Linked DNA regions of Rhinolophus ferrumequinum. The protein of the gene in region 4 interacts with the protein of the main gene of each other region in a pairwise test. Links are inferred from orthologs where the notes say so. Each region holds a gene or a part of one and is shown on either strand. Other genes may lie near its edges. The genes, in order: CDR2, NUTM1, DBNL and SH2D4A.

Region 1 (7,871 bases), on a different chromosome or scaffold from region 4:
GCTGGTGGAGAGTCTTGCCTTCCATTTAAAAACAAAAAACCACCACCAAAAATAAGCCCACCACCTCTAAGGCGCAATAGAACAAAGCAAATGCACTAAAATGAGGCATATGCCTGTGAGGATGTTAAAAATGAACAGATGTCTGTCTGCACTTGATAAAATCCCACTAATTTGCTTATCGAAATATTTAAGAGGGCAGACCTGCTGCTCCCAAACTTTATTCAGCAACAAATATCTATTGAGGGCCTACCATGTGCCAGGCAGAGGTGGGCACAGACCAGGAGGCAGCGTCTCTAGGCCTCTCTCGTCAACAGATTCCTAGACCCTCCATTTCACTTTGCTGTGGGATCCTGCCTGTCCTATCTGTGGGTAGGGACTGTGGCCCCAGGGCCTGGATCTGTACCTGGCATAGAGTTGGTAAGTATTTGAGAAATTAACAAATTTTAAAATCCGTTAGAAGTTTAGGAGTTCTTTAAGACACAATTTAACAAAATTGGGACAAAGATCATCCTTTTATTCACACTGTATCCTTCTTTCTTTTACAGGCCTTATTCACAAGTTATGATTGTTGGAATTTCCTGTCTATTCCTACCCAACACACTTGGTTATGACATAGAGCGTTATGTCTAAGTCCATCGTGATATGGATGGAAAAGTCCTTTGAGAAGAAGCACAGAACAAATTCCAAATGCAAACTGTTTGTGTGGAATTTCCAGTCTATTCCTACCCGACACACTTGGTTATGACATAGAGAGTTATGTCAAAGTCCATCGTGATACGGACGTAAAAGTCCTTTGAGAAGAAACACAGAACAAATTCCAAACGCAAACTGGCATTAAGGAGGTTTGGACCCGTGTTCGTTAAGATCTCATTGAAGTTGAACACCTGATGACTTCCTTTTGCCCAGAGGTTAGTAACCCCAACAAGTTGCATTTGCTTCTCAGTAGATTGAAACATTACAAATGAATCTTCCTAACAACTTCCCACAGGGCAAATGCCTTGTGGACTGAGGGACCTGATAGAAGAGAGCAATGAAAACAGTAACCCTCTGCGAGTGCTTCAGTTCAGGTCAACAAATATTAAAATCAAGCTTCTGTTATGTGCCAAGGATTCCACCAGATTCAAAAACAAAACAAGCCTGTACAGATCTATGTTTCTTAAATGCAGGAAAGAAAAATATTTAGCTATGACCATACGAACTGCTTAATTTGTTATAAGGAAATGTTGCAGTTGTACAGTGGTTCTCACATTAATCCTAGAGAAAATATCAAACTGAAAACAGGCTTGTTAAAATGTAAGACAAATGTGTCTTGTGGACATGGAAAATGTGATGGCAAATACTGCACTGCAGCTGCTAAGTAGCTTACACCATTTAAGCAAGCGTAATGGTGAACTACTTTGGTTTAAGTGACTGTCCACACAGCATGTTGATTTAAGAAATCACCTTCCCCCAAAAGATGTACTTGTTTTATTTCCCTTTTCTAAATATGAGTAATTCAAGTTTACATTCCTTCCCGCCCCCCCAGTTCAATGGTTAGCATGAACAAACATCATGGTCATTTAATATTCAACTAGATGAAATGTTAATTGTCACTGCAAGTGGAGAGTTGAAAACGTCGATGTACACAGAATTGCAGAAACGGAAGATGCCTGAAAAAAAAATTCCTGAGGATTCTTCAGAATAGTGGTTAAGAAAGTTTGCTCTGGAGTTTGAAGTGGGATCCTAGCTCCAATAACAGTATCTTCCTTTCTACCTCCATAGTTGTTGAGATTAAATGAGCAGCTGTGTTAAAGGGCCTGTCAGTGGCCCCCAAAAAGCGCTCCCCAATTTCAAGCTCCTGCTACTCATGTGCAGTAAAGGGGGGCCTTATAGGGAGGCTGCAAAGTGAGGACTGTCCAACGATTTTCTCTAGAGACACCATCAATCAGCAAGAAATCCAAGGCAGGTTCAGATAGGAGTGCCTGTTTCTAAGGGAAGGAAGGGGTCGAGGTAGAAATGCCCTTCAGTCATTTCAGGGCCTCAGGTGAAGGATGCAGAAGCAATTTTTCCGCCCAACAGTCGAACACCCAACTGAAGAAGCTGTAAAGCGGCTGGTAACGAAAAGCCAGGGTTTGGGTAGCGGCTGTGGTTCCTCCTTCTGAGTGTGTGGGTTCAAACACGCTCCCACTCCTAACGCAAGGGAAGTCACTTGGCCGCTCTGGCCTCCGTTTTCCTCCTCCGGAAAGTGGGGTTAACAAAAGCTACCTCGCGCAGAGCTATTGTGCGGATCACAGGTGGGCCCAGGGCTGGGCACGGGTCCTGCCGGAGCGCTCTGCTCCCCCGGCCACCTGCAGCAACTCCCACCCGCGCCGCGGAGCAATGCGGGGAGGACTCCCTGCAGCCCGTGCGGGCGCAGAGCTAGCCCTCCGCACGCGTGATGCTGCCGATACCTGCGCAGCAGCCTCGGCCCGCGCCGAGCCCGCCTCCGGGGCGGGACGCGCAGGTGCGGCGGGTCCCCACGCCAGGTGGACGCCGCGCTTCGCCCGCACCTGGCATCCGTGGGCCACGAGCACAAGCAACTTTTTAAGAGGTTCGCCGCCGGAAGCCTCCGGGGCCTGGCCGCCCGCCGGCCGCCCGCGCTCTCACCTTGCTGGAGGTCCCGATTGTCGTACCACGGCTCTTCCTCCACCTCGAACTCCTCCACCACGCTTTCCGCCAGCATCTCGGCCGGCTCTCCCGGGGGCAGCGGCGCCCGCTGCCGCCGTCCCGCCTCGGCCGCTGCCCCGGGCTCCCCGCCGGTTCCTCCGTCCTCAGCCAGAGCCGCCCTCGGGCGGGACGCGCCGCCACGCCGCCGGTCCAGAGCCGCCCGAGCACCGCCGCTGCCGCGGACCGGCTTTCTGACTCGCGTCCTGAGGCCCAACGGCCCCGATGGCCGGCAACCCGGCGCGAGCACCCCGGCCGGCGCCCGGAGCCGGCTCCTCGCGCAGCAGCGGCACCCAACGTGGCACTTTGGCAGCAAGCTCCCCGACGGGGGCTGCATTCAAACCCCGGGCGGCGCCTCCGCCAATCGCGAGCGGGTCGCCGGCCGAGGAGCAGCGACGTCGCCCAATGGCGTCTTCCCGCAGGCCCGCGGTTCGCCCGGTCTCGTGGGCAAGCAGCCAATGGCCACTCCGGAGGAAACAAAGAAGGCGGGGAAAAGGGAAGGGGTGCGGCCGGAGGCCCCGCCCTCTCCTGCGTTGGGTGGCTTCTGGGAGCGCGCTCCAGTGCCGGGGTGTGGAGGTGGCGGCCTCCGCGGCGCCTGTGGTGGGTGTGTGGCCGCGGGGACAGCCAGCCCGTGGTCAGGTTGTGTGGGCGTGAGGGTGGGAGTCCGGCCTGCGGGCCTGGGCTGGTGTCGCTGGGCGTCCCTCGTGCAGGCCGGGGCGCGAAGGGTGCCGGGAGCCCGAGGCGCGCGGCCCTGTGACCCTTTCTGGTCTTTGGACCCCCCGGGGCCCTCTCGTTGATGCGCGGAAATTAAGGGTTGGTCGGGCCGTGGGGACCGCCAGCCGTTTTCTCCTTGACCTCTGCGCCCTTCTCACCTCCAACCCGCAGGGAATTGCACTCAACTCCCCCAAAACAGCGGGCTCCAGACCCACTGGGGAACTTGCGAGCGGGAAGGGGTGCAGTTGAAGCTATCTCCTTAGAAACACATTGCGAGCAGTTTTGCGTGCGAGTTTTGAAATGTCCATGGACCACCAGTTATGCCTCTAGGGTCATGACCTTGTACCTGGAGGGAAGCGAATGCAGTCCTCTCTCTCAGAGTAGAATGCCAGCCAACAAATGTGGGAGGAATATAAAAAAGAAAAAGGAATGGTAAACTCACAAATTCTTTTCTGCTGAATGCTGGTGTACTGAAAGGCAAAATGTTAGTCATCCACGTTTTATTGCTGGGCTAAAAACGAAGATAGCTTGGTTCAGTGTAAAGCCCCAATGGCCTGCTTGTCCATATCCTGATACAGGTATCGGTCCCGAGTCAAAAGGAAATAACTTCAAACCGTCTTAATTTCAAAGTAAATCACCACAGACAGAGCTTTTTGGAAAGCGAGGATATTGGATTTAGGATTTGCTGATGGTGATTTGCGGAAGCTGAAAGGTTGAGCGTCATGCATTTGACCTTCAGGAGACTTGGCTTCCCTGGTCACTGATGCGCAAGATTGAAAATGCTGGCATTTTTCTCCATGGCACATAGCTCATTTGGACTCCAAATCAAATGGGAAAGTGTACTGAAACGTTCTTTTATATTTTCCTTCAGAGAGAGTGATCTGGAGAATTAAAGTCATTGATAATTTAAAAGGGCACAGAATAAAAAGCCAGGCTTTATGCCTTTCGGTATTAGTGGGTTCTTTTTTTTTTTTTAATTAAAGTTTATTGGGGTGACAATTGTTAGTAAAGTTACATAGATTTCAGGTGTACAATTCTGTATTACATCATCTATAAATCCCATTTTGTGTTCACCACGCAGTCAGTTCTCCTTCCATCACCATATATTTGAAGTGGGTTCTTTTTAAGGACACTATTTGGGGAAACTTGAGGTTTTTTCCCCTGGAAAAAAAACAAAATTGCATCGAAAAAGAGATGTTAGCTTTCAGTGCTGAAAGCCTTACCTTGGAGGAGTCTCTGGCATTCTTTTAGAATCTAAGTAGGCATAGTTTGGAAGTTATCAAAGCAGGTTCTTTAGCAACATTAATAGCATTTGGTTTAGTAGTAGGCCAGTGAAGAACAACCCAAGTTGATTCTAAAAGGAGGCTTTGGGCTTTTGTTTAACAATTCACTGGCTCAGCCTAATCGTGACACCATTTGGGTACTTTTAAACTCCTCTGTATAAAACAGTTTGTGGTAAAAAGGAACCAGAAGTCCTTCGTTCCGAGTTGTAAAGATGTAATATTCTGGTTCTTGGGTGTTTTGTTGCTATACTAAAATTGTGTAAGGAGAGACTTTAGATAATAGTGGTGGCTTTTAAAGAAATTTTAAGTGGTGATTTTCAGTGTGACACTTACTGAAATAAGTATTTACTATGATGACAGTAATCTAAAGCAAAATACTGAGAGCTCTTTTGCAGATAGAAATAAGGAAAAGTTCGCTTCCTCCTCTCAATATACAGAGGATGCCAAAAAAATGTATATACATTTTAAGAAAACTATTAAAATTATAATATATACCGATAACAAAAGAATACAAGTCACGTTTGACTTCTGCAATTGCAAGAGGTGCTCAAAGTGGTTCCCATCAGCGTCCAGACACTTCTGATGACAGCAAACTACTGCTTGAACCACGTTGACCAGTGTCCACATTTATACATTTTTTTGGCATCCCCGGTATGTAAACAAATGTTTTCTTAATGTTTTAAAAACCTTATATTCATATGTTTCAGACAGGATGCCTGCTTAACTCAAATTCTTTTTGAAAAATTTGCTCTCAACTCAGCAAACTTCTGACCTTTTGCAAAATTCTGACTTTATAAATAGCTGCCTTCTGACTTAATGGTAGAGCAATTCAGAAGGCGTGGCACATGCTTCTTGTTTTAACACGCCTGAAATAAAGGAAAAGAAGTGTCCAGATTTTGGTGGGCTAAATGTGTATCTTGGCTTCTGGTGTTTCTGACTCCCTTGTTTTGAGCTCTCTTAGTAACCCAGTGACCTCTAGCCTCAATCTGCATCTCACGTATGCCAAAAATGACTCTTGAGGGTGAGGGTTTCACCAGTAGTTCCCCGCGTTTTCAAATTTGAGAATTGTTGGCTGCCTTCCACACGATAATACTTCTATTTTTCAAGTGCTTTGAGCATAATGACAAAAAAAGCCACAAACATTCAGATTTGTATTCCCTCATTACAGCAGTATCTGCAAACATTATAAGAATCCAAGTACACATGGGCAAAACATTCTGTGTTCAGTCTGCAGACAATACTTGGTCTGCATAGGGGTTTAGCAACCCCTTTTACAATTCTAGGGCCCCACTTCCTATAGAATTGGAATCATTCTTGGATCCTCCCAATGCAAAATGAAGCTCAGGGACTTAATTTGATCTCTCATGTGCCCTTCCTTCCCTAAGAAATTGGGCAATACAGACGGCAGTGTCAGCTTAATTCTCAAGCATCATTTAGGCAAGTTACGTCTCTCAAGGTAGCTGAATATTTGTGTTTTCTGATTCAGTGAGATTGTGGAGACCTGGCCGAATATTCCAGTACGGCCGGATAAAACAGGAAAATCATGGCGTTATCTTAAAACTATCATCAAGATTAAAAGGAAGATGAATCTATACCTACCTCTAGCTTGGCTAACCCTTTCCTGTTTTCCACTGTGGTAAATCAAGTCACTGAAAGGGTAAGACAGTAGGCCAGATTTAAGAGGGACGTTTACATCAAGTGAGGATCAAAATGGGTTTTTTCTACGTCCATTTTAGGTATGTCCCTTGGGCCAAAGTTACATAGTCTGTCAGGAGAAAAAAAAGACTGACTCTTCCAATGCAAGTATGTAATACTATAATACTAACAGGAGGGGTTTGCTTCAATTCCTTCTCTTTGGCTTTAGCTAAAGGATGTCACCTCATTGTTCTTTTTTCTAGCGCACTCTCCCAGGTAGGGAGGGTAATAATGCCATAAGTGCATCTCCCTGGCCTCGAGTTAAGCGTGCCCAAACTCTTGGATAAATCTCATGTTTATAAGTTAGAAGAAATAGTAAAAATATATTCACGTACGGTCATACTCTATGAAATTAGAGTTCCCGGCAACATCTCAAAAAGTGTTGAGTGAGTAGATAGGAAAGTAAAGTGTTAAATCATTACATATTCACAGCGAGGAGATTTGGACTCATTTAACTAAAATTAACTAGTGTCCAGTGGAATTTTGCCACCCATCGCATGGAAACAGTGAATTTTAACCATTTTCCTTTTTTTTTTTTTTTTTAAACAAAAGGAAGAAGAATTCCTCTGCATGGAAAATGCCACTTTTAAGTACCAATCCCATTCTTGGGCATATTCTACAATAACATTAGGGACTAAAATGCTAAATTCTGTCTTCCGCTTCTACTGCGTGGAGCGTTTTCTGCATCTGTACAAGATTTCAGAAGTGGCTTTTCACCACGCCCAGTGGGGTGAGCCCTTACCTGTCCTTTCACCTGAGACAGTGTTTCTCTCTTTCACAGTTGTGCATTGTTGTGATTTTCCCAAGAGCCGATTCTTCACACAGCTGAAGAATTAAGTGTTAAGAAAAGGTTAGCCACGTCCAAGATCCTCTGTGGGAGGGCAAGGAGATTTGTAAGAGATTGCCACTTAACGCATAAAAGCTTTAGAGTTTAAAGGCTAAGCTTGGTGATTCGGGAAATTCACTTACGTGGAACAAGCAGCCTCATTATTAAGATATTCTGTGTCTCGGGAAATCCCGTGGTATTCACAAACTATCACTCAGTTCATGGCCTTGGGTAGCAAACACTGATATTTTAACCTTTCCTGACGAAATTACGTAACCTTGTGCCGTAGTGTGTGCCCAGGCCACCACTCTGCTGTGGCGTGGCCCGGTGTGCCTGGTGGGGAACCCCTGAGAGCACCAACTCGGGGTGCTTTCCATCCGCCTTGGCTCCCACCCCGGCTCTCTTCCTCATTTGTAGAGTGGGGATAATGATAGTGCCAGCTCCTTAGGATTGTTTTAAGGAGGTGGTGAAAGAATTCATGCAAACACAGGTGCCAGGATGCTAAACACAAACTGAGCGCGCTGGCTTTTCCCGTGGTGTCAGCTGTAGTTATTATTCCTGTATCCGCAGGTGCGCCCCCTGCTGGTCCGTAGCGCAATGAGCTTTTCTACCCCCACGGATGACCTTTGGTTGCTTCACACTCAGTAAACATCAAGGGGTCGTTTTCATCA
Region 2 (7,515 bases), on a different chromosome or scaffold from region 4:
TGCTGCCTAGGCCCTTCACCTCAGCAAGCTTTACCACCTCCCCATTTTGATTTGAATTCTCCTGAATAAAATAGGGAGCGGTGGAGGAGGTGACGCACAGAAGGTCCTTTGTCTGGTCCCGCACCATCCTCTCCCACAGGAATGAGTCACACCTTATCCTGGCCCGTTAGAATGGCTCAACTCAATGTCCGAAGGTGTTAAAATAGAATGAGAGGACCTGGCACTTAGTGTCAAAGACCCAAGTTCCAACCACTGCTCCTCACTGTATGGTAGGAAACCTCTCTGAGCTTCAGTCTTCTCATCTATAAATGAGGACTAAATGCTTGCCTGAACTCACAGGGTTGTGAGCATCACTTGAGAGCACACAACTGAAGGCTTGCTAAAAACTGAAAAGGCTTATCGTCATCATCATCATCATCATGCTTTTGGTACTCAGAGCATCTCTCCATCACCCTCATGACCTGCCCTTGAATATTCCTATAGCGTAACCTCTTCTGTCCATCCCAAAGCCCTCCTTATTGAAAAGCCCTAGGATAATTAATCTCAGGTCTCCCCACTTACATAAGAAAGCAGGAAAGAGCTTCTGCATCAGGACTCTGGGATAAGTGCATCCGGGCCAAGGCTTTGTAGCACTGCCAGCGTCGGAAGTTCTCATAAACACCCTTGGAGGTACAGGAGAGGTCACCCAGTGAGGGCTGGGATTGGGTGGCTGGCAGACCTCCTCCAGTTGCCCCATGTGGCACAGGCCAAGCGTTTTCCGGGCACACAGGGAGAGCCAGTTGGGAAGCTGACGGTGGAGTCTGAGCAGGAAGGCCTAGGAGGCCCTCCTGGCTCACTCCAACAGCCTTAGTAGCTAGAAAGGTCTTCATGTTAGAAGTTGTCACAAACTGAGGAGGAGGACCTTCGAGGCCCCCAGAGGGAGCACCTGAGGCAATCCAACTGAGGGCAGTCTGAGTAAGGATCAAGTTCTGAGTTTGAGAGGCCTCAGCTGGCCCCCCTTCTGTCTTGATTTTGACAATGACTTTGCCAGCTCCAGCCCCACTGTGGCCAGGGCCCCCATCCTCTGTCACCAACATTGGGCTAGGGAAAGCGGAGAGCATCAAAGAGTTGCCTGGAGGGAAAGCTGAAGGCATAGGGGGCTGTGCAGGCAGCTCCCAGGGTGGTTGGTCTGGTGGGCCAGGAGCAGGTGGGGGAAAGGGAAGTGCCATGAAGGGAGATAGGGCGGTGCCAGGTATCATGGTCATATCTGGTCCAGGCAATGGAGATGCTGTTGAGACAAAGAAAAAGAGGGAGTGCAGTAGGAGAAAAGCAGACCAGAAGCTACATTATCAGAGTTGCACTTCAGTTACTGAAAAATCAGAGCTCTGATTCTCAACAGGTAAGGAAGGGTATATATGGAGGGGAACGTCTGTAGTTTGCAAGTGATTTTGATGTTCCTTACTCCCGGTTGGAAATCATTGCACTAGAGAAGTAGCAGTGACTCTTGGACCCATGAGCTCATACTCCATAACACGTCCCACAGAGGATACAGGTACATCTGGAATATATAGTCATACAAATTCCAAACCCATTCAAACCACCTGAACTCTGCTCCCAGCTGGTCTGTGGTCCTTGCCACCACTCACAGAAGTGCTGTTCCCAGGAGAGGGTGTGTGGATCAGATGTTTGGTTCTCAGAAATTTTGTTATATAATAGCTAAAAATGACTAGAGATAAGGGCCAGGATATGGACAAGGGGAGGGCTGTGTGGGGAGGGAGGTTTCCAGAGCTTTAAGTAGCTGGTGGACACGTTAAAATTTGGCATTGCAGACTATCTGTGGTCCTCCAGCTTGGATTCCCTATCAGAAATATAGGATCCACCAAGAACAAGGCACTGACAATGAAGTCTGAAACAGTACCTGCTAAGAAGGAGCTTATGTGGGCTCTTGTCAGAGACCGAGGATAAATACATAAAACGTTACTTAATCAGGACATGTGTCTCCTAGGACTTTTTATAATAATAATAGATCATCTGCCTAATTTCATGCTACTCTCCTCCCCCTCTTATAAAGACTATTCCCCTGGCAAACTAACAACACTCAGCTTCCGCTCCCTGACCATGAAAGAGACACGGAATATGAGCAAATGTGTCATCTCGACAACAGAGCAGAGGGCCAGGAGTATTCCATGAAGTTCGGATGCAATGAAATAGGACTGAAGGTGTGAGCCTCACAAAAAAATAGAAAAACTGAGAGCTTCTCAGGGAAGCCCCAGCTCTCATTCTGGCTGGAGTGATCCACCTCCTCTAGCTCTGGGGGAATCAAGGAGAACTCCTCCCTGAACTGAAAGAGAAGCCACCTCTGGGGCTGGAAGGAGCCATGAGGCTCTGAGCAGAGGCACTTATAGTACCTTCCAGTCTAGCTATCAGGAAGGCATTTCTCCACAGACTTGGCAACAGATAACCCCACTGAACAGCTTCTCCAGCTAAGACCTCCACCCCACCCTGACCCCCCAATACATCGAGAGTGACCCCAGCACAATTCTCTCAGGGGAAAATTCTAGAACAAGCTCCAATTACCAAAAGAAGACCCAGAATCCTGGGACTTCCACTTGAACCCTCTCTGTGCCACACATACCACTGCCCCTGCCACACAAACACATGTTGAACGGGGTCCCTCTTCCAGAGAAGCAAGTTGCTAACTGCCATCCCTTCTCTATACTCAGCACTTTCCTCTGAGGTACTTAGATCTGCATCCCAGAGGGCCCTCTTACTTCCCCAACCCCCAGTCTTTTTTTTCCCAACCCCCAGTCTTCATGGCACAAACTTATTTCCCAGCCTCTCCAAGTGTGATTGTTTTTTTGGTAGCATCTATATTCTCATGTCCCTCTAGGTCAGTACAAAGACCCCTATTGTCCCCAGGTAAAGTGTCAAATTTGAATCCCCAAGGATGTGGCAGGGGGTGGGGTACCCTCTGCATCACCTGCAGACTTACCTCCATCTGAAGTCATCCTCTCAGGTTTGGACACTAGCTGTGGCTGTCTGGAAGCCTCCAGAATGAGACAGTCAGGTTGAGGACCCAGAGAGTAACCTGGCTCCAGTAGATACACAGGGATCCAAGGAGGAGAGGATAAAGATCAGATCAAAACAGAACTGGAATCTAGAACTCAAGGAAGTCTGCAGTGGGGGAGGGGATAGGGGAATGTGGGGCTGGGGTAGGGAGATATTCGACAGCAGGCTCTGGTAAATTGGCAGTAACCAGGAATTCCCACCAAACCAGAGTTTGGCAACACAATTGTTGTCTACCTCTTTAGGGCAATTTGTAAATTTTCAGATTCCCAACATTATAGTTTTATTAGTACATCTCCGTTCCCTACACAATTCTTCACCAGTATATTTAGTTTTGTGCCCTTAAATCCCACCCAGTTCTGTAACTGACTTCCTATTAATAGAAGGTTGTGGCAGACCCTTGATTTAATTCAATGTTCGCTGTATTTTCTGAACCAAATTCAGAACACACAGTCTGTGTACTTAAGGATCTGGAGAACGGAGTGCTTGAAATTAGGATTGTCTGGGAAGACCCAGGGTGTTTGGTTGCTGTATGCATATCATTTCCTTGGAAAGCTGTCCTGCAGTTCCCAAATAGTCCACCATCAGCTCTGCAGTCCACAGAAGGTTTAGCCTTAACCCTTGGTTGAAAAGCCCCATTCTATCAAAGACAGGCATTCAACCTAAAATTTCAAGGCCAAAAAGTCCTTTTGTTTGTTAAATTATTTTTGTTTAAAAATTTTATTAAATAATTTTAATTTTTAAAGTGGGAACTACATTAGCATGGGTCTAAAGTAAAACTATACAAAACAGTGTACAGCGAGTCTCCCTCTCCCACTCTTTTCCCCTGGAACCAAGTTCTTTGTTCCCAAAGAAACCAATATTATGTTCCTGTGAATCCTTGCAGAGATATTTTATGCACTGCAAGTAAACACGTATTATCATTACGTTTTACGTTTCTTTAAAAAAATTTTTTTTTCAGGTTTCCTGGTTATAACATTAATGTATATTCCAATGTTTTTGACATTATAAATAATACTGCAAAGGTCATCTTTGTAATATTACCTGGGCTCCAGTTTTCATTTCTTTAAACTAGAGTCCTATAAGGAGAATTTCTACACGTTCTTTAAAACATTCGAAATAACCCCTAGAAGGTACATCTTATTATGCTATTATTAGCTACTCACCACTATAAGCGCTGAGTTTGTGGTAGAGAGACCTGAGTTTGAATCTTGGTTCGATCACTAAAACATACTTCACCAGTTTCATAAAACAACTTCACGCTCTCTTTGCTGTGCAGAATATTAAATACCCATCATGCACTCTTTACCGCCAATATTTTGAAATAGGGCCGGAGAACCGGATAGAAAAAGAGGGGAGGGAAGAAAAACCTTCCCTCTTCCATAAGGTAAAGGGGCTCTGAATCCTGGAGCTCTTTGTTTCTCAACGCACTATAAATCCACTGCCCCTGATATGGGTGTGCATCTTGCGATAAAGACAGGATTCTATTCACTAATGTTCAACTCATATCCATCCCTATCCCCCTCTAACGCCTAGCAGTGTCTGGCACACAGTGGGCACCCTCCATGTGTTTTAGAAGGCCTACAAAGTTGCAACTGGGCACCAAAGTCTACAAGGTTGCAACTGGATTGCAACTGGGCCAAGTCCTGCACTAGTGCGCCCCCTTCTGCCCAGCTGGAAAAAAGCCTAAAATGAACTACATTTCCCAGCATACCTTGAGAGAGACACTTCCGGCTACACAGGAAGGAAGTTGGCAAACACGAGAGACTGTTAGACTGAGCTGCTGACGGAATTCGAGCTTCTGTCTTCATCGTGGTCATGTTTCTCCAGTATTACCTCAATGAACAGGGAGAGCGGGTCTATACCCTGAAGGTAAGAAAAGGAAACATGTAAATAGGCATGGCGAAAAGTGGAGGTGGGTGGAGCGGTTGAGACCAGCCGCGGAGTTGCCTAGCTGAGTGGGGGGAGTTGGAAAGCCCAGAAGCCAGGCGTGGTAAGGTAGTAGCTGGAGTGTATGAGTGCTACTTTGACCGTCGCGTCTTCTGTCTTCCTTATGATCATTTTCCGCGCGTCCCCCTCCCCATCCCAGCCTCCATCTCCTTTATGACGCCAGTGATTGAGTTTTCTCACCACACCTGTACTGAGATTATGTTCTCTCTTCCTGGAGCAGAAGTTTGACCCCACGGGACAACAGACCTGCTCGGCCCATCCTGCTCGGTTCTCCCCAGACGACAAATACTCTCGACACCGAATCACCATCAAGAAACGTTTCAAGGTGCTGATGACCCAGCAACCGCGCCCTGTCCTCTGAGGGTCCCTTAATTTCATGCCGCCTGCTACCCCTCTGAGACTTTCCGAACCCAAGCGCTGCAATCTGTGAGCCTTGATGCCTTGTTACCACCCTTTCTTTTTGGAATCTGGTGTCAACATTACCTTTGATCATGTTTGTGCGAGGCAATCATGGTAGCATACACCTTAAAGGGAACAAGTTTGAATCTTCTTTTCCTGTTTTGACATACTGTCTGGTTATTAAAATGATTTGAAAGAGCTCTTATTTTGTATGTTGTGGGAAGAAGGACGTGGTTTAAAAAAACAAAAAACGAAGAGAGATGGGAGGGAAGTGTACCCAGGGGCACAACAATACTTGGAAGAAAATCCTAAGTCGTTGCTGTAGCAGGAGTAGTGCTGTATTAGTGACAGGAGGGTGTTGGGGAAGGGAAAGAAAGGTTGAGAAAGATTTACATAATTGTCAGCATTTACAGAAAAATACCCCTGTTATCATTCCCCTTGAAGTGACATTTTGACTTAAAATGGAAGAGTTGCTTGAAAATAATAGCAACCATATTGTAGAGGGAAAGCAGTGAATTGGAAGTCAGGAGACCAAGATGCGCTCCTCTCTGCATAACTTTAAGAAAGTCACTTAACCTATTTAGTCCCAATTTTTTCTTCATTTCTAAGTTCTCTTCCAACTCTATAACAGATTGGGTTCAGTGGCGGATATATATCCACAGTGTTGTTCCACCATTATGAATATGAATGCCTCTGTGCATATTTACTGCTCCTCTGGAAATAGTCGCAGTCTTTTAATTCTCTCCATCAAGGAATTGTCTTACATACACCTAACTTTATATTCTCTCTGGGAGCTAGCTGCTATGTGGAACTCTACGTGGATCTGAATTTAAAAGATGAGGTATGAGAGATTGAAGTGGAGATTTTGTTTTTCAAGCTATCGTTGGTGGTTAATAACAAAAGAAACCTGGGAGATTTTTAAGGATTTGAGCTTCTGTCAAAGGGCAACCATAAATTTTTAATTCAATTGCTTTATATTAGAGGGATGATGAGGCAAAATATTGTATACTGGCTGGCATTCAAGAAATGCTAGCTTGCTTTTACCTCACCTTGTCAAGTTAATCCGCTCATGTCCCCAATCATCTCATTCATGGCTTTTGACATTGGATTTGAATGTTTGCTTAATGCCACAGATTTAAGAATTGCTTTGTGGAGATTGTGTTCTAATTTTACAATCTTCTTTTTCTACTGCATCAAGATTCTAGACTCCAGAAGCAGATGTAACTTATCTCAGCACAAATTTGATTTATCCAGACTGGCCCTGCAAAGGGATAGATATGTTTCTCTTGGAATCTGATGTCTGACCATCCCAGCAGAGAAGTTCAGGATAGTTGTTGACTGCTGAGAAAAAAAGAAAAAATATCTAAACTTGGGTCACAGTTAATAGAAGACATGATTTTCAAGTCAATTATTTACTTAAACATATGGGAATGGTGAAACAAAATATTTGTTTCCTGTCAATAATTTTTTATTTCTTAGCCTAGTCACTTACAGGTTCTTAGCATTGGATCTGAGGGATTTTAAAGACTTTTCTTGCCCCATTAAGGGGATAATGATTGAAGAAATATTAAAAATTCTGCAAATGGCTAGAAAAAGCAGCTGCTGAGCAGATGTTTCCTGGCATTGTTGTCAGTTTTGAGTCAAACTCATAAAAATTCAGAAGAAAAAGAAAAAGGATCTGCTCTGGAAGTTTCTTAAGCACCAAAATCAATTAATCAAATCTGCTACCAGTATTTTTTAATGTTGACAGTAATTCTGTCCTTATAATTTACTCCTCCTCCCCAAAGAAAGATTAGCTTTGTTCCATGCTACATTCTGTGTAGACTGAAATGAGAAGACTAACATGGAAATATTCTGAATTGAATTTGAAAAGAAAGGCAAACTGGTTTGAATATACCAAGGATTTTTCCTTGGTACCCTAGGTATTAACATTTGAGACGTGCTCAGAAATGGGAGTCTTAAGAGTTATACTATTAGGTATTAGGTAGTATATATAAGTTAATGAAAACACTCTGTGTATGAAGCAAAATTGGTTGTAGAAAGCCAGCATTTCTTTGTAAGGGGAAAGTCTTTGAGATTTGAATGAACAGGCCTGCCTGAGGAAAAAAACATCCCTCAGGG
Region 3 (7,101 bases), on a different chromosome or scaffold from region 4:
ATGACTCCCAAGAAGCTGAGTTTCCTGAGTCCAGTCAAAATTCCCCCATGCCTGCTCTCTGTTGGAGATGCATGGTAGAGAAAGTGAAATCAGTCCTTTGGGATTCCCCGCAGAAATTATCATTCACCCTTTGCAAGCCTGAGTGGTGATGTATACCTGCCAGACCCCTCAGATAGGCGTGCCCCAGCAGTCTGCTTGGACTCACCCCCTAGGAAACACATCTGCTTGTTACATTTTTCAGGGCTCAGGTCAGCCTGAAGAAAAGGTTTCTTAGGTTGAAAAGCTTATTTTAGGATGCACTCTGGTGTGGGCAGCTTCCCTATAACCCACATGAGCAGCTGTTACGTGTCCTAGGCAAGTCCCAGGTAGGCAGCTGGACAACAGATCCAAAAAGCCAGCTGTGGGGTGAGGTGGTTTTTTACTCTGTGGACCAGAGAAGGCAGGGAGACATAAGATCTTAAGCAATTGATCCACTGTGAACAAATGACTGTTAACTACACCCAGAAGCATCTGGGTTTTCTGCATAGCTCTGAGATCTTTATCCTTTGTCAGGCTCCCGGAAGAACCAGGAGTTCCAAGGATATGGCAAAGGGTCAAAATCTTACTAGAGATAAAATGCAAGAATGCAAACAGTCCAGGCCTAGCAGCTCACAGCTGAGCAGTATGTCAATGCTGAGAGAGCCCACAGCAGCTCACTCAGGTGCTCAGGGATGGGCATGTTTCTGTTTCTGACATTCAAGGTCTCTTTAAATGCCAGGGAGGTGCTGGTGGGACAGGTCTCCAGCACTCCTGGCCTGAGGTCTGTCCCTGGTATGCAAAGGGAGGCAGAGCAGAAGCCTCAAGGTCAACATGGGCCCCTAGTCTCTCCCACCCTGCCAGCCCCTCCCTCCTGCACCTCTTCTCACTGACCACACTCCTACCCTGGCAATGCTGGTAAGGGCTGGGCCTGGATTAGATCTAGTCCAGGAATGGAGGAATGGAGGACATGGCTGCCAGCACCCGTGAAGGTAGGAGCGCTCCCTTGCCTGCTGTCCTTTAGCAAGAGGAGGAAGGACTCGTCGTTCTCCGTCTTCAGTCTGTTGGTTTCATTGTTGCCACCACCCAGGTTTCTCCCATTGATAGATTTTATTAATAATAAAATCACAAAACCATAAAGAACCTGCAAAACCTATCAGACCAGATAGTGGATTCTTAATTTTCCTTAAAACGTCTCCTTCACCCCCCACCACGTCTCCCAGGACCCCACTCTCTACCCTCTGGGGGAAGTTGGCCATTTCTGCATTTAGTGTCAAAGGCACAGCAGTGCAGTCTTGGGAGTCACCCTGACCCAGAAGGGACTGACAGTCTGTCAACATCTTTGGGTTAAAATGTCAGCAAAGGTGCAGTGAACCTGTAGAATCATCTTGCCCATGACTCCGGCTCTTTGAACCTGTCCTGTCGGGGGTGCTGCAGGCCCCTGGCAGCAGGAAGCATGGCTGAGGCTTCAGGCAAGACCTGAGCAGACAGCCTCACGGCAAGAGCTGTGTGAGCAGCAAGAGTGCAGCTGAGCCTCTGTGAATTGTTAGGGTGGCAGGAACCAGCGCCCCTCCTCCTGGGAGCCACCTCAAACTGACTTCTGGCTGCCCCCCTCAGAGCCCAGCCCAAGGTCACTGCCTACTGGCAGGCCTACAACCCAGACCAGGGTCAGGGCTGTAGCCCTCTCACCTCCCTGCCATTGACTGACTGTTACTCTCTGTTCACATCATAACATGGACTCAACTATGTAAGTTTTTGTTTTTTTAACGTCTCAAGATACGAAGTATTTGTTTACTGCACACTACTTACCATGCAGCATAAACAAGATTTTAGGGCAGGAAAAACAGTAATTCCATTTCTCTAACTGTCTCTTAACTGTGGCCATGTGAGGCTGGAGCAGAGAGATGTAATCCTGGTGGTTTTAAGAAAATGATTTTTCTGCTAATTGACACTTCTGTTGATGAGGATTTTGAATAGCTATCATTTTTTACTGATTGCTATGGTCTGAATGACTGTGACCCACCCCAAAATTTCCTATATTTCAATCTTACCCCCAAGGTGATAATATTAGGAGGTGGGGCCTTCGGGAAGTGACTAGCTTATAAAGGTGGTGCCTCATGAATGGCATTTGTACACTTTTAAGAGAGACCCCAGAGAGCTCCTTTGCCCCTTCCACCACGTAAGGACACAGCAAAAAGATGGCCATCTATAAACTAAGAAGAAGGCCCTCACCAGACACAGAATCTACTGGTGCCATGATGGACTTCCAGCCTCCAGGACTGTGAGAAATTCCTGTTGTTTATAAGCCGCCCGCTCTAGTATTTGGTGATAACAGCCCGAACAGACTGAAGTACTGGTCTTGCTGTTCTTGTCAGACAGTTCTTTTTCTTAATGCCATTGGTTCCCTCTATCCTGTGGGCTCCAGAGGGAGCCTATCAGCAAGATCTTCCCTCCACACTTGGACCCAGGTGTATTTAGGACACGGTCAAGTACCCTCAAAATGTGGAGGACACACATTCAGGGCTCTGGTTTTTTGCCCTGAATCTGCCATCTAATCTACAAGGAGAGCATCAGGAAGTAAAGCAGATCTGAGTTTATCCACATGCAAGTAAAGAGGCTGTGTGAATGGCAGAGAAGTTAGGGAGAAGAGAGAGGAGTCCCAGGAATGACCTCTGGAGACATCTCTATCAAACTGAGGAACAGCCGAGCAAAAAGAGAAGGACGCTGAAAGGAGACAAAGTCAAAAGCAGGAGTGGGAGGGAGGGAGGGGGCGTAGAGATGGTCCACACGTGGCAGTCAGAGGGCTCTTTCCAATCACGTGCTCTCTAAAGCTCCCCAGAGATTCTGCTACACCTAGAATAAAACCCAAAGCCCTTCCCCACCCACAGGGTCCTACAGGATCTAGCCTCCGCCCCGGCTCCTTCCCTCTCCTCCTCGTGCTCCCACCTCAGAGCCCCAACACATCTCGTTCCCTCTGCCTGGAGCACTTCTGCCCAAGCTTCCTCAGCTGCCCCCAGCCCCACATTCACTCTCTGCTCCAGTGTGACCCTCCTCAGAAAGGCCTTCCCTAGCCTGTCAGGCCGACAGACTCGCGGGCTAGAACAGGAAGCGGAATCCTGGCGTCCCCAACTCCCCACCAGGGACCATCCTCACAGCCTTGTCAGCGGAGCCTGGGTCTGCCTGCGGCTCCCTCAGCAGTGTGCACGGACCTGGTCACCACTGACCTCGTCTGCTTCCAGCACAGAGATCGGACTGTGGCCCGCACAGCCTGATTCAGGCAAGATGGGCTCTCCCCAAGTTGACTGAATGTTGAAAAGTCCTCCTAGACTTCTTAAGGGTCCAGGGACCCCAGGCTCGCGACTGGCAGCCAAGTGGACAGAGGAAACTGGTCACTAGCTGTTTAAATAGGCACATTCCCAGAGACAGAAGAGCACTGGAAGAGGAGCCAAGGAGAAGGCAGAACAGTGAGGCTGGCTGAGGGCTGCAGCCAAGTCCTCCACGCCTCAGAGGACCAGCAATCAGAAGACGGAGGGCGGCGCGAACGGGGTTCTGTAGTTTAGGGAGGTGTGAGTTCCCCAGGGCAGGAAAGGGAGTTGTGAGCGGCCTGGCCCCTGGCCCCCATTTTCCCTCGGGGAGGTCACGGCCGCAGGGACATCTGTGCACAAAGGAACTGGCCTCCTTCCGGGCAGGACCTGCCAAGAACCAGCGGGGAAGGCCGGTGAGGGCGAGGAAGCACAACAGCCTCTTGAGTTCGGTTTGTGGCGGTGTGGTCGTCACTTAGCCTTCGTTCCCATCCATGTCCTCGTTAACTTGTGCTTGCTTCCTTCATAGCTCCGACTTCCTGGAAGAGTCCGGGTGGAGGGAGGCTCTCATGCATCCAAGTTCTCAATAAGCGCATTCGCTGTGAGGAGACTTAGAAGACGACAGGCACAGCGCTCCGCGCAGCAGCCAACGGGCTGGGCCCGCGAGGGCCCTGCGCACACGGCGAGCGCCCGCCGCCTCCTCGCAGCCCTCAACGCGGCCCTGGCGCTCCGCTCACCGCGGCGCCCTCTCGCAGTGCTTCCGCTTCCGGCGTCGGGGCGGGGCTTCCGGCCGTCGGGGGCGGGGTGGGCCCGGAAGCGGCGGCGGCGGCGCGGGGACCGAGGAGCTGGCCATGGCTGCGAACCTGAGCCGGAACGGGCCGGCACTGCAGGAGGCCTACGTGCGGGTGGTCACCGAGAAGTCCCCGACCAACTGGTGGGCGCCGAGGCGGGCCGGGGCCGTGGGCGGGCCGGACCGGGGGGAGCCTGGGGGCGCGGCTGTGCCCCACGCCTGGTGGTTCGGAGCCGCACTCCGGAGGTGCTGTCCCCCACCCTTGTCACCCCGTCCCCCGCCGTGCGTGAGTCCCCGGGCCCTCCCCGTCCCTCCGGCCGCCGGCCTCGGCCTGTTGGACTCCGTGCCGGGCTGCGCTTGGTGGCTTCGCCAGCTTCTCCTTTTCTGCCCGGGGACTTCACAGCCCTCCCTGAGAAAGAGGAAGCCACGCCCGGCTCCTTGCCAACGCTGTGTTCAGGGATGGCCTCTGAGAGCGGTGTGGCAGCCCGGCTGGCACTGGGAGGCTTGCCCCGGAGGCGTTACACAGGGAGCTCGGGGGGTTGGGTCCCTGGTTCTCTGTGAATGCGGATTTCAGAACCTCCCTTTCTCCAACAATGCTCCTCCCTGTGCCTCAGCCATGAGGAGATGAATGAAACAACGATGATGGCCACCCTCTTTCTTCCACCTCCCTATACCGTCCTCTGCTAAGCTGGCAACATTCAGGTCTCCTCCTGGGGTTCATGGGGTTTGGTAATACTGGAAGCCCGGATCTGCAAGCTCTGCGATGGCCCTGGACAGCCACGCAGAGGGTCAGCTCTCTTCTGCACGCGGTGGTAGCTGTGGATGGTAATTCTCTGTCACCGTCCCGTTTGCTTCGTTTTCACTTCCAGTTCTAAGAAATGCTGAGTTTGGTGGACTAAGATGACCAGCTTTTGGGAGCAGGGCCCACTGGGTGGGGCTGCTACTGGGACTGGTCTCTACTTGTCAATGCTGCTGCTTTCCCATCTCTGCCTTCCCTGGTGCCCAGCGCGGACTGGCTTTCACACAGTGTACTACTGGCCACTGAGCATGTCATAGCCTTTCCTGTCCGTCAGCCCCAGGCCTTTTGGGGAGGAGCTGCCTGGGGCGAAGTGGAGGTGGGCGCCCTGTGTGGGACGTGTGCACAGTTTTCCAGGGGAGACAAGCAGCACGGTTTCTGTTTGGAAAGCATCTCTTCTAAATAGGGAAAGGTGTCTAGTAACTAGTACTGTTTCTTTGCCTTCTCTTCTTCATAATCCTATAGGAAGTTCGCCCACCTGTCTAGGTACGGTTATTTCCGTAAGGAGACTTGGGGGATGTCAGCCCCCTACCTCTCTGTCTCCTGTCCTCAGAGGACCTTTGCTGGTGTTCCAAACCCTGGGGAAAGTGCCTCCACCTGAGTGCCCAGTTCTCACACCCACATGAGGCCACCTGCTTTGGAACCCAGAAGCGTGTTTGCCCCTCTGCAGTCCAGCCCAGTTAGGGTTCTGCTCCTTTACGTGTAATCCTTTCTGACTTACCTAGAAGACTCCTGGGCGTACTAATGGGCCTTCCTTCCATGTCTCTCTGTCCTCAGTCTTCTCAGGCCTCCCTTGGGCTTCTAACCAGAGCTGCCTGCTACCCCCGAGGTCTGCAGCTGATCTGCCCCATCCCCTCTCTGCCACTCAGGGTGCCGAGCCTCCTCACCTACCCCCAGGCTCCCATGGCACTTGGGGGCTGAACCACTGAGCAGCTTGAAGTCCTGGCCTCTGTCTTCATTGTCAACAGATATGGTGTGGCAGGTCCCCACTCATTAGCTGAAAAACATCTAGACCACGTCACTTCCCTGATTATAACTGCAGGGGCTTTGGCTGTACCTTACATAAAGCCCCGACGCCTCGCCCCGGCTGACACCCTGCACACCAGCTCCTGACCTCCACTCCTGCCGCCCTGCCGCTCACCACACTGACCACACCTGCTTACCACCACTGGCCTCCTCCCCTTCCTCACCTTGCAAGCCGGTTTCTCCTCAGAGCCCTTGTGCGTGGCTGCTTCCTCTGCCTGGAGCGCCCTTCCACCTCATCCCACGGGGCTCCCCAAACCTCAGTTCTCAGCCCCGTGGCTGCCCTCTTGGAGGGCCCTTCCTCAATTCCCGGCTCCCTGTTTGGCTTCTGCCAGACAGCCTCACCTGTCGCCTTTCTGCCTTTACCAGAAGGGGTGGGGTGGGCACTGTCCCTAGTGCAGGACTGTAATGTGTGGTGGGAGCTCAGGTGAAGGCCGGACTCGGCGCAAAAGGAGATAGAGGATATTGGAGCAGGGGTCTGCGGTGCGGGAGGCCGTGGAAGACTTCACATGCAGAGTGGGTGGCATCAGGCTGGGCTCGAAGGCCGGTGGGGTGGGCAGCCGCCACCACGTCCGCTCTGCGTCCTGCTCTTTCTCTTAGTTCTCCCAGTTCTCCCTCCCCACGTGGTAGTAGCAGCACATGTGTCTTCTTCCTGCTCCTGCTCCAGCACCTGACAGCACGTTCGTGTTGACGTGTGTGCTGCTTTGTCTTGCGATAGGAAGTAAGTCCCATTGGCAGGGTTTCTTGGGGATTATTCGTAGCTGCAGCCCCACTGCCACGTGTTTTGGGAAGGAATGACCAAGTTATAAGGTGCTCAGCACCCATGCTCGTGCCCTGCACAGGCCAGCGCTCCATTTCTTTCCATGTTGATGTGAAAGAAGAGCGGAACTGGATTGAAAGTGGAAATGAGCCTCTGAACTGGAACATCTGAGAAAGTGGCTGAGACGACCCAGGGAGAAGGGGCAGGAAGTCAGATGGTTAGGTGGCAGGCATGGAGCATGGCTCTGACTAGCTGCGGGGTCCCTTTGTGGTGGAAGAGCTGGGCCGAGTGGCCATCTCGATCCCCTGCTGCTTGTCTGGGAGGATGACGGGCCAGGACACCCACCACCAGAGTGCATGCTGACAGGCTAGACCCACTTTTCCCTTTGACTTGCTGTGCGGTGGTCAGCCCACAT
Region 4 (7,037 bases):
AAGCAAAGACTATAACTGAAGGAAATGGTTCAGTGGGGAGGGGAGGAGTTCTAGGGGGCGGAAGTAAAGCCACCTCCAGGAAAGACAAGGAAGTGACAAAGAACACCTGAAGCCATGTGGTGTGGGCAGGGAATCTTTGGGCCACAGAGGGAAGTGCCCTCTTCAACTAGAAGGCCAGAGGGAACATCTGAGTTTCATAACTCAGTTATGAAAGTTTTCAGCACACATGGGATTTATAGATGATGTAATACAGAATTGTACACCTGAAATCTATGTAACTTTACCAACAATTGTCACCCCAATAAACTTTAATTTAAAAAAAAGAAAGTTTTCAGGTAAACTTTAAAAGTAAAACTTTAAAAGTAAAAGGAAGGGGGGAACGTAATTTGGTGGTTACCAGAGCGTAAGGGGGTTGGGGGGTGGGGGATGAGGGTGAGGGGGATCAAATGTATGGTGATGGAAGGGGAGCTGACTCTGGGTGGTGAACACACAGTGTGATTTATGGATGATGTGATACAGAATTGCACAACTGAAATCTATGTAATTCTACTAACAATTGTCACTCCAATAAATTAAAAATAAATTAAAAAAAAATAATAAAAAAAAATAAAAAAATAAATAAAAAAAAAAAGTAAAAGGAAGGAAAGTAGCAAATCTTAGATATATTGGGCAGCCATAGTGAGCCAAACACTGTCATCTCATGCATTACATTTAATTCCCACCCGATTAAATGATAGTCTGGGTTTGGTGGAACATCTATTCCTGGACAAGGTTATGGGAGTTACTTCAAGACCAGAACCAAGAAGATGAACATCTAGTTTCATGTTTATTTTAGTAACGTCTAGGGGCTGCTATTACTATGCCTTCAAAATTTCCCATAACCAATTAACTTTGTTTCCACACACTTAGTGGTTCCCAACCTTGGCCATACATTAGAACCTCCTAGGATGCTTTGAAAAAATGTTGGTGTCTGTGCTCCATCCTATTCCAATCAAATAAGAACCTCTTGGGGAAAGGGGCAAAGGGACAAACATTAAATCTTCCTAGATTATTTTAATACGCACTTGAGAACTACTTCTGTGCTCACTGGCGGTAAACACTTACAAAACTAAAATAAATTTGTGTACTTTTTGCAAAGATTGCACGTAAGAGAGAAGTTAGGAAATCAAAACCTGATTCTGAATCTGGTAACAAGGAAGAGATGAGATTTTGGTTTTATTAGCGTTAGGAGGCCTACTCAAAGCTGCCCCTGGGAATATCCAAGGAATGCCAGAATACTAGAAAGAGCTTGCTTCTGTTCCTTTCTCAGAGCTTTGATGGGTAAAAAAGTATTGGCTACCACAGGCTCTTCACAGATGTCCCATGTCACTTAAGGTAGGGGTTGCCCAATTCTATCCACAAGCCGCGGGTCAGCAGTTCCTATGGGCTATAGGCTGCTTTAACACTGCATTCCAGAAACACAAAAATACGAGCGACGTCTTCTCAGCAACTCAGACCATGGATTTTGAGGAAACAATTCCATAAAAGTAATTCAAGGGAAAACATCACGGATTAGAGTAATCTAATTAATTCAAAGATGAATGTAAAGACCAATAATTTATCTTGATATTTGTGAAGATGAAAAAAATAAAAGCCTGTAGGGAGTCACAAAGAAATGAAAATAGCTCAAAATCAATTCTAACTGCTGGCACAAAAGTGAAAACATCGAAGACTTTCAGTAAATGTTTTTTTATGAATGATGACTTGACAGATTTATTTTGAAATTTGATCAATTTTTAATAAAGTTGAAATGTTTAGTCTTTTTCTTTCACATCTACTTCATATTCACTGTGGAACAAATATATAACATAACTCTTTAAGAATTAAAAAAATGTGGTTGGGGTTTCTGATGCTGAAGATAAAATATGGCAAGAAAAATATTATTTGTGTTTATCCTATTTTCTTTTATAAGAAAAAAATCCGAAGGTAACTTTCATTTTCTGTAGGACCTGAATACAAATCAACCTTATAAAAAGTAAAATGACAACTTAAAAAAATTAGTATGTAGCATATAGTATATAGAGATTTAGCCTTTCTCTTGCAATGCTGGCTCTGGATGGGTATTCGGACACCCCATGAACACATGTACTGGTGACACCCATCATACATGACACGCATCATACATGGCCAGTGGCCAGCCAGCAGTAGATACTCAGCACCTGTCCCTACCAAGGCTTGGTTGCCCCGACCTCACATTCTATCAGGCGTGTTGTTGCCACTATGTGAAGGCAGCAATCCTCCTCACAATGCATCCTAGACCACGGAGTGGGGAAAGGTTATCTACTGAGAGCACTGGGCCAAAAGGAGTGAAAGCTATCAGGGCCTCATAAGGAGTAACAGAGCCGCTTGATGATTTTTAAAGCAACACAAAACATTTTAATGTCTACTTTTGAAATTAAGGAAAAAATACATTTTCTGTTTCAGATTATGCCAATTGAAAGAGGAAATGCCAGGAGATGAAAAAGGGAACAAAAAGGGAAGGTGGTAGTGGAGAGGGGAGACAAGTGAAGAGGATGCAGAAAGAATTACAGAAACAAGAGGAAAAGAAGGGAGATATTTACAGATAGTGGAAAGAAGGATGGGAAGGAAACATGAGAGGAAAGGAAAGAGATACTGGGCTCCAAGTCGAGTGAACGATTGTACTATGCGTGTACAGTCTGAATTCATTTGGGCTGTTAACAGCCATTCAACTACCATGCACTGCCTACCTACTGCATTGGTGTTGGAATGTATCCCCCTCAGATAAGGGGGGACTGCTGTACTGGGGGGTGAGGATCACTGAGGCTGACTTGGAGCTTAGGTAACAGAAGAGGCAAAATCCATAACATAAGTATAAAGTGATAACTTGAAATTACAGTATCTGATGTGAAATAATATAAGCTAATATGTTTTAACACTTATTGCCTCCAGGAACTGTTATGAGCATTTCACATGTATTATCTCATTTAACCCTCACAACAAATTAATGAAGTAGGCACTGCTATTATCCAGAGGGGGAAACCAAAGAACAGAGAGACTAGTAGCTGTTATAGGGACTTGTCAGGACATGGAAAAAGACTGAGTGTGGAGAAAGGACACTGGCTGTTATCAGCGTCCTTTGGAATTTTTACTGGCTGATGAACCACGCTTTATAGTTTTTCAACTGTTCACTCCACGAAGTGTTAGAATTCATTTTCAGCTGGCTAACCAGGGGCAGATGACACTCCAGCCAAAAAAACACCCCACAGGTGATCCATTTGACAAGCAGTGGGAACCAAACCAAAACCAGAAATTCTCCCGATAGGATCCCTAGATTGGTTCCTAAACAGCTAGATTTCTACGATTGAGCTTTGCCCCCAAGGCTCTTTCTAACAGCTTGGGCAGCCCAACTTGAGTGTCTTCTGAAGTTTGGAGAGGCTAGGAATGAGAACATTTCATTTTTGAACAGAGCAAGTCAGGCTCCTGAATTTATAGGGAGGCTATGGAGAGGAGGACTGAATGCTCAATGTTCATTACATCTCTTCTCAACCCGGGCGATCTGGGATTCACCAAATCAAGTTGTTTTTCTCCAAATCAAGCTGTTTCTCTCCACACATTCTGAATGTTCCTCTTCAATGCGACACGCCCTTCAGTGTCTCTACTCTGCTTCTTCTCCACTTTTCCAAGACTTCCTTTTCCTATCTTCAGTCAACTTCTTCCTTCATGCACCACCCCAACCTGTTCTTGCTGCAATTTACAAGATTCTTGACCTTCTTAACCCTTCCTCCAGATTTCTTTGATTTTCTTTCCCTGACGCTTTTGTTTTCAGTCTCCATCTTTCCAGCCTTTCTCCTCCTTGATCCCGTCCTACAAAGCCACACCGGTACTGGTAAGTACCTGTGCCTGAGAGTTTGATCATTCACTTAATGGCAACAAAAGAAAAAGAAAAAAAAAAGTAAGCTCCAAGAGACGAAGGAGCAGAACCTGAGAGGTGAGCAGAGTTGGCCCGCGGGACTCAGTGTAACTGAGAAGGGCCTGCCCGCCTCCGCAGGCTCCACCTTGCAAGAAACCTTGAGCTCTGCGGTGGAGATGGGGTAGGGCCGCTGATATTAATAAGTGCCACAGGACCCGAGATGGCAGGACGAGCCATCGCAGACTGCAGGTGGTTGTTTATTTTGGGAGGGGTGGGGAAGGCTGGCCTGCGACCACCGCCCCTTATGCCAGGGTGGTTCCAGGACAGCAGGCCTGGGATGCAGCAGGCCGCCGGGCCCCGCCGCCGCCCGGCCCTGGAGCGTGTCCAGGGGCTCGGGTGGGGCCGCGAGCACCCAGTCAGTCACCCCGGCATGTGGGCCGCGGGTGGGGCGGAGCGGGCGGGCCGGGGCTGAGGGACGCTGTTTGCCAACATTTCACCGGAGTGTTTGTCCAGCCAGCCTGTGCGGCTCACGGGCGCCTCTCCCCGTTCCTCCTTCCCTTCCCCGACAGCTTGGGCGGCCCAACTGGACGTGGCGGGTGCGCGGGTCGCCTTGGCAGGCGAGCCCAGGGCCCTTCACAGGTATGTGCCAGGGTGGAGAGGGAGGCCGGGAAGGGGAGGCCCGGAGAAGATTTCCTTTTTTTTGGGGGGGGGGGCGGGGGAGGCGGGGGTCCCCGAGGGGTAGAGTGGAGGATGCGGGGCTGGGGGAGGCGGGCGGCGAGGCCTGGGTCCCCACGGCCCGCGCCCCTCCCCCGACCCCTCGGCCGCGCCCCGAGCAGGCTCAGGTGCGAGGCTGGGCGGCCGGTGTCCGGTGTCTGGTGTCCGGTGTCTGGAGCCGCCGGCAAGTGATCGATGGCACGGGAGGGCCGGGGGCTTACCGTGACGGTAAGAGGGAGCTCCGAGGGGGACGGCCGCAGGTACACGAGAGGCCTAGGGTCAGTTCTGGGGCTGCGGGCGGGGCTCCAGGTCCCCGAGGGGCGTGTGCGCGCAGGTCAGGCGAGGTTCCGCCCCGGAGGGAGCCGGGGCGGCCGGGTGGTGGCCGCGTGGGAGGGTCTGGGCCGGTCTACACTTTCTGGACTCTTGTCGAATAACCCCCGGCGCCCCGCGTCTCCCCCAGCTGCCCTGGCCTCGCGCGGCCCCGCGACGGCGCCCCAAGCCGTGGCGCGGCGGCGACTGCCCTGCTGACGAGCATACGCGCACTTCTGGGTAGCGCCCTGGGGCCTCCTTCGCCCCAGACCTTCCAGGAGAGTCCGGGGAAACGGCTTCAGCGCGCCAGCACCGAGGGTGCCCGGCGGGGTTGGGAAGCCGAGGGGGAGCCCTGCTTCAGACTCAGAGGGTGACCCCCAGTCAGCTCGGTACCGATGACCTACCTTCTCAAGGGGGCACCCCGGCCGGCGCCTGCCCTCCGTTTTCCCGCTGGCGCCCCAAAGGGCTGGGCGTGGAGACGACGGGACAAATTACAGAATTTTTCAGTATTCTCAGAGTTGTCTTTCCTTACCCAAGAGTCACAGGGAAGAAGCAAGCACGGCACCTTTCTCTAAACTTAGTCTCCTCACCTCCTAAAAGGCTTTTATTTGATTGCCTGTTTAATAGAAACGACTCAGATACAATATTTTTGAAGTGAATGAATAAGTGGAAGCATATGTGGGCATAGATTTGGCATGTGAGTGGAATTTTCTAGATAAATCCGTGTGTACAGTAATTCAACTTTCTGAAGAATGGTACATATTTACAAAACTTACCAAATTGTTCTCACCTCTGGTAATTCACTTTATCCTCAAAAATGGCCCCTTTGCTGACAAGATTAATAAGGTAAAATTGAGAAAGATAACTGAAAATCTGAAAACAGAGCTGACAGTACTAAAATAATTAAAATTCAAACTATATTTTAAACATTAAAGTTATACTGTCCAGATTACAATCTTTTTATGATTTAGGCTGTACCTCAGGTTGGGTTTTTATTTTTATTTTATTATTATTATTATTATTTTATCTCAGTCACTAAAAACACAATTTTTGTTTTGTAAAACAGGACTGTGAACGGTGTGAGTCAGGCCAAATCTGTGTTATCCTGGAAAACAGCTGATCCTACGACCCTTTAGAAATTTATTTTTGGAATAAATAGCAGATGTGGGCTTGTGGCTTGTCATTTCTCTCTTAAGAAAAGTGCTGTAGAAGAAAACCAGTTAGCTGAGCTTTTTCCTTTTATTGGATCTTGAATAACTGGAAGTTTGCTGTACTCAATATGTTAGTGGAAAGTCATTAGAATTTGAATCAGTATCAGCAATGATTGTCCTGTCAGGGAGTGAAAGTGAGAAAAACAATGATTGATTTTCTCATTTCTATTTCCTCTACCCTGGCTTCAGTTGTCTCCGTAACTTCACATAGATTATCTGGCATAGTCCTCAAATTATAAAGATTCACAATGCAGGCCCTCATTTCACAGATGAGGAAACTGAGTTCAGAAAAGTGAAGTAACAGCCAAAAGTCACACAGCTCATGAGAACAAAGCTGGGAGTCCGGGCTGGGGTCCCTTGCTGGTTGTCCTGTGAGCTCCCTGTGCTGTGTTTGAGTTTTCCATCTCATAGCGTAGAGGAGGAAAGAGTTCATTCACACCAGTAGGAGTCAACAGGCTTAGAATGCATGCATATTATTCAGCAGCCTGACCACCACAGTTGTCAGCTGAGTCCCCAAGTATTCTAGGACACAGGGAAGCCAGTGTCTTTCCCTCAAGATTCGCTAGTTAACTTTAATGCTAAAAATCCATGTTTGCTACAAAAGGCAAATAAAACATTAAAACCATGAAAACTCTTGAGCATCACAGAGGTGCTGTGGAACTCTTCACACTTGTGGCATTTGTGCTACTCCTAGTGGTTATGTGAATGGGGAAATGGAGAAAAAAGTGAGCAAACAACATCCACACCTGGGCCAGTAGGACAGTCAGTTCCTTGCTGTCCTTCCCATATGGGGTCTTTTCAACACCTGGACTCCCCTAAACTTAATCTACAATTACCGGGATGAGGCTTCTGCCAGAGAGGCATACTGTGTCATGCACCTTCAGTTAAGCATT

Evidence for each region.
Region 1: the proteins of SH2D4A (region 4) and CDR2 interact in binary tests that used the Homo sapiens proteins (3 or more experiments, as listed by UniProt). The two-hybrid records come from large-scale screens. The link is inferred for Rhinolophus ferrumequinum from reciprocal best matches to the Homo sapiens genes SH2D4A and CDR2.
Region 2: the proteins of SH2D4A (region 4) and NUTM1 interact in binary tests that used the Homo sapiens proteins (3 or more experiments, as listed by UniProt). The two-hybrid records come from large-scale screens. The link is inferred for Rhinolophus ferrumequinum from reciprocal best matches to the Homo sapiens genes SH2D4A and NUTM1.
Region 3: the proteins of SH2D4A (region 4) and DBNL interact in binary tests that used the Homo sapiens proteins (3 or more experiments, as listed by UniProt). The two-hybrid records come from large-scale screens. The link is inferred for Rhinolophus ferrumequinum from reciprocal best matches to the Homo sapiens genes SH2D4A and DBNL.

The regions. Positions count from the first base shown.
Region 1 is NW_022680357.1:16,828,315-16,836,185, forward strand, and holds the start of CDR2 (cerebellar degeneration-related protein 2), read right to left. Parts: upstream 3,005-7,871; 5' UTR 2,702-3,004; coding exon 2,626-2,701; intron 909-2,625; exon of another isoform or gene 546-908; intron 418-545; exon of another isoform or gene 247-417; intron 1-246.
Region 2 is NC_046289.1:70,959,850-70,967,364, reverse strand, and holds the start of NUTM1 (NUT family member 1), read right to left. Parts: upstream 3,003-7,515; 5' UTR 2,988-3,002; coding exon 2,972-2,987; intron 1,268-2,971; coding exon 562-1,267; intron 1-561. Other genes in the region: NOP10 (H/ACA ribonucleoprotein complex subunit 3), read left to right, coding at 4,864-4,917, 5,216-5,356. UniProt on the Homo sapiens protein: Plays a role in the regulation of proliferation. Regulates TERT expression by modulating SP1 binding to TERT promoter binding sites.
Region 3 is NC_046303.1:48,981-56,081, forward strand, and holds the start of DBNL (drebrin-like protein), read left to right. Parts: upstream 1-4,098; 5' UTR 4,099-4,168; coding exon 4,169-4,251; intron 4,252-7,101. UniProt on the Homo sapiens protein: Adapter protein that binds F-actin and DNM1, and thereby plays a role in receptor-mediated endocytosis.
Region 4 is NC_046287.1:57,283,440-57,290,476, forward strand, and holds the start of SH2D4A (SH2 domain-containing protein 4A), read left to right. Parts: upstream 1-4,026; 5' UTR 4,027-4,159; intron 4,160-4,479; 5' UTR 4,480-4,549; intron 4,550-7,037. UniProt on the Homo sapiens protein: Inhibits estrogen-induced cell proliferation by competing with PLCG for binding to ESR1, blocking the effect of estrogen on PLCG and repressing estrogen-induced proliferation. May play a role in T-cell development and function.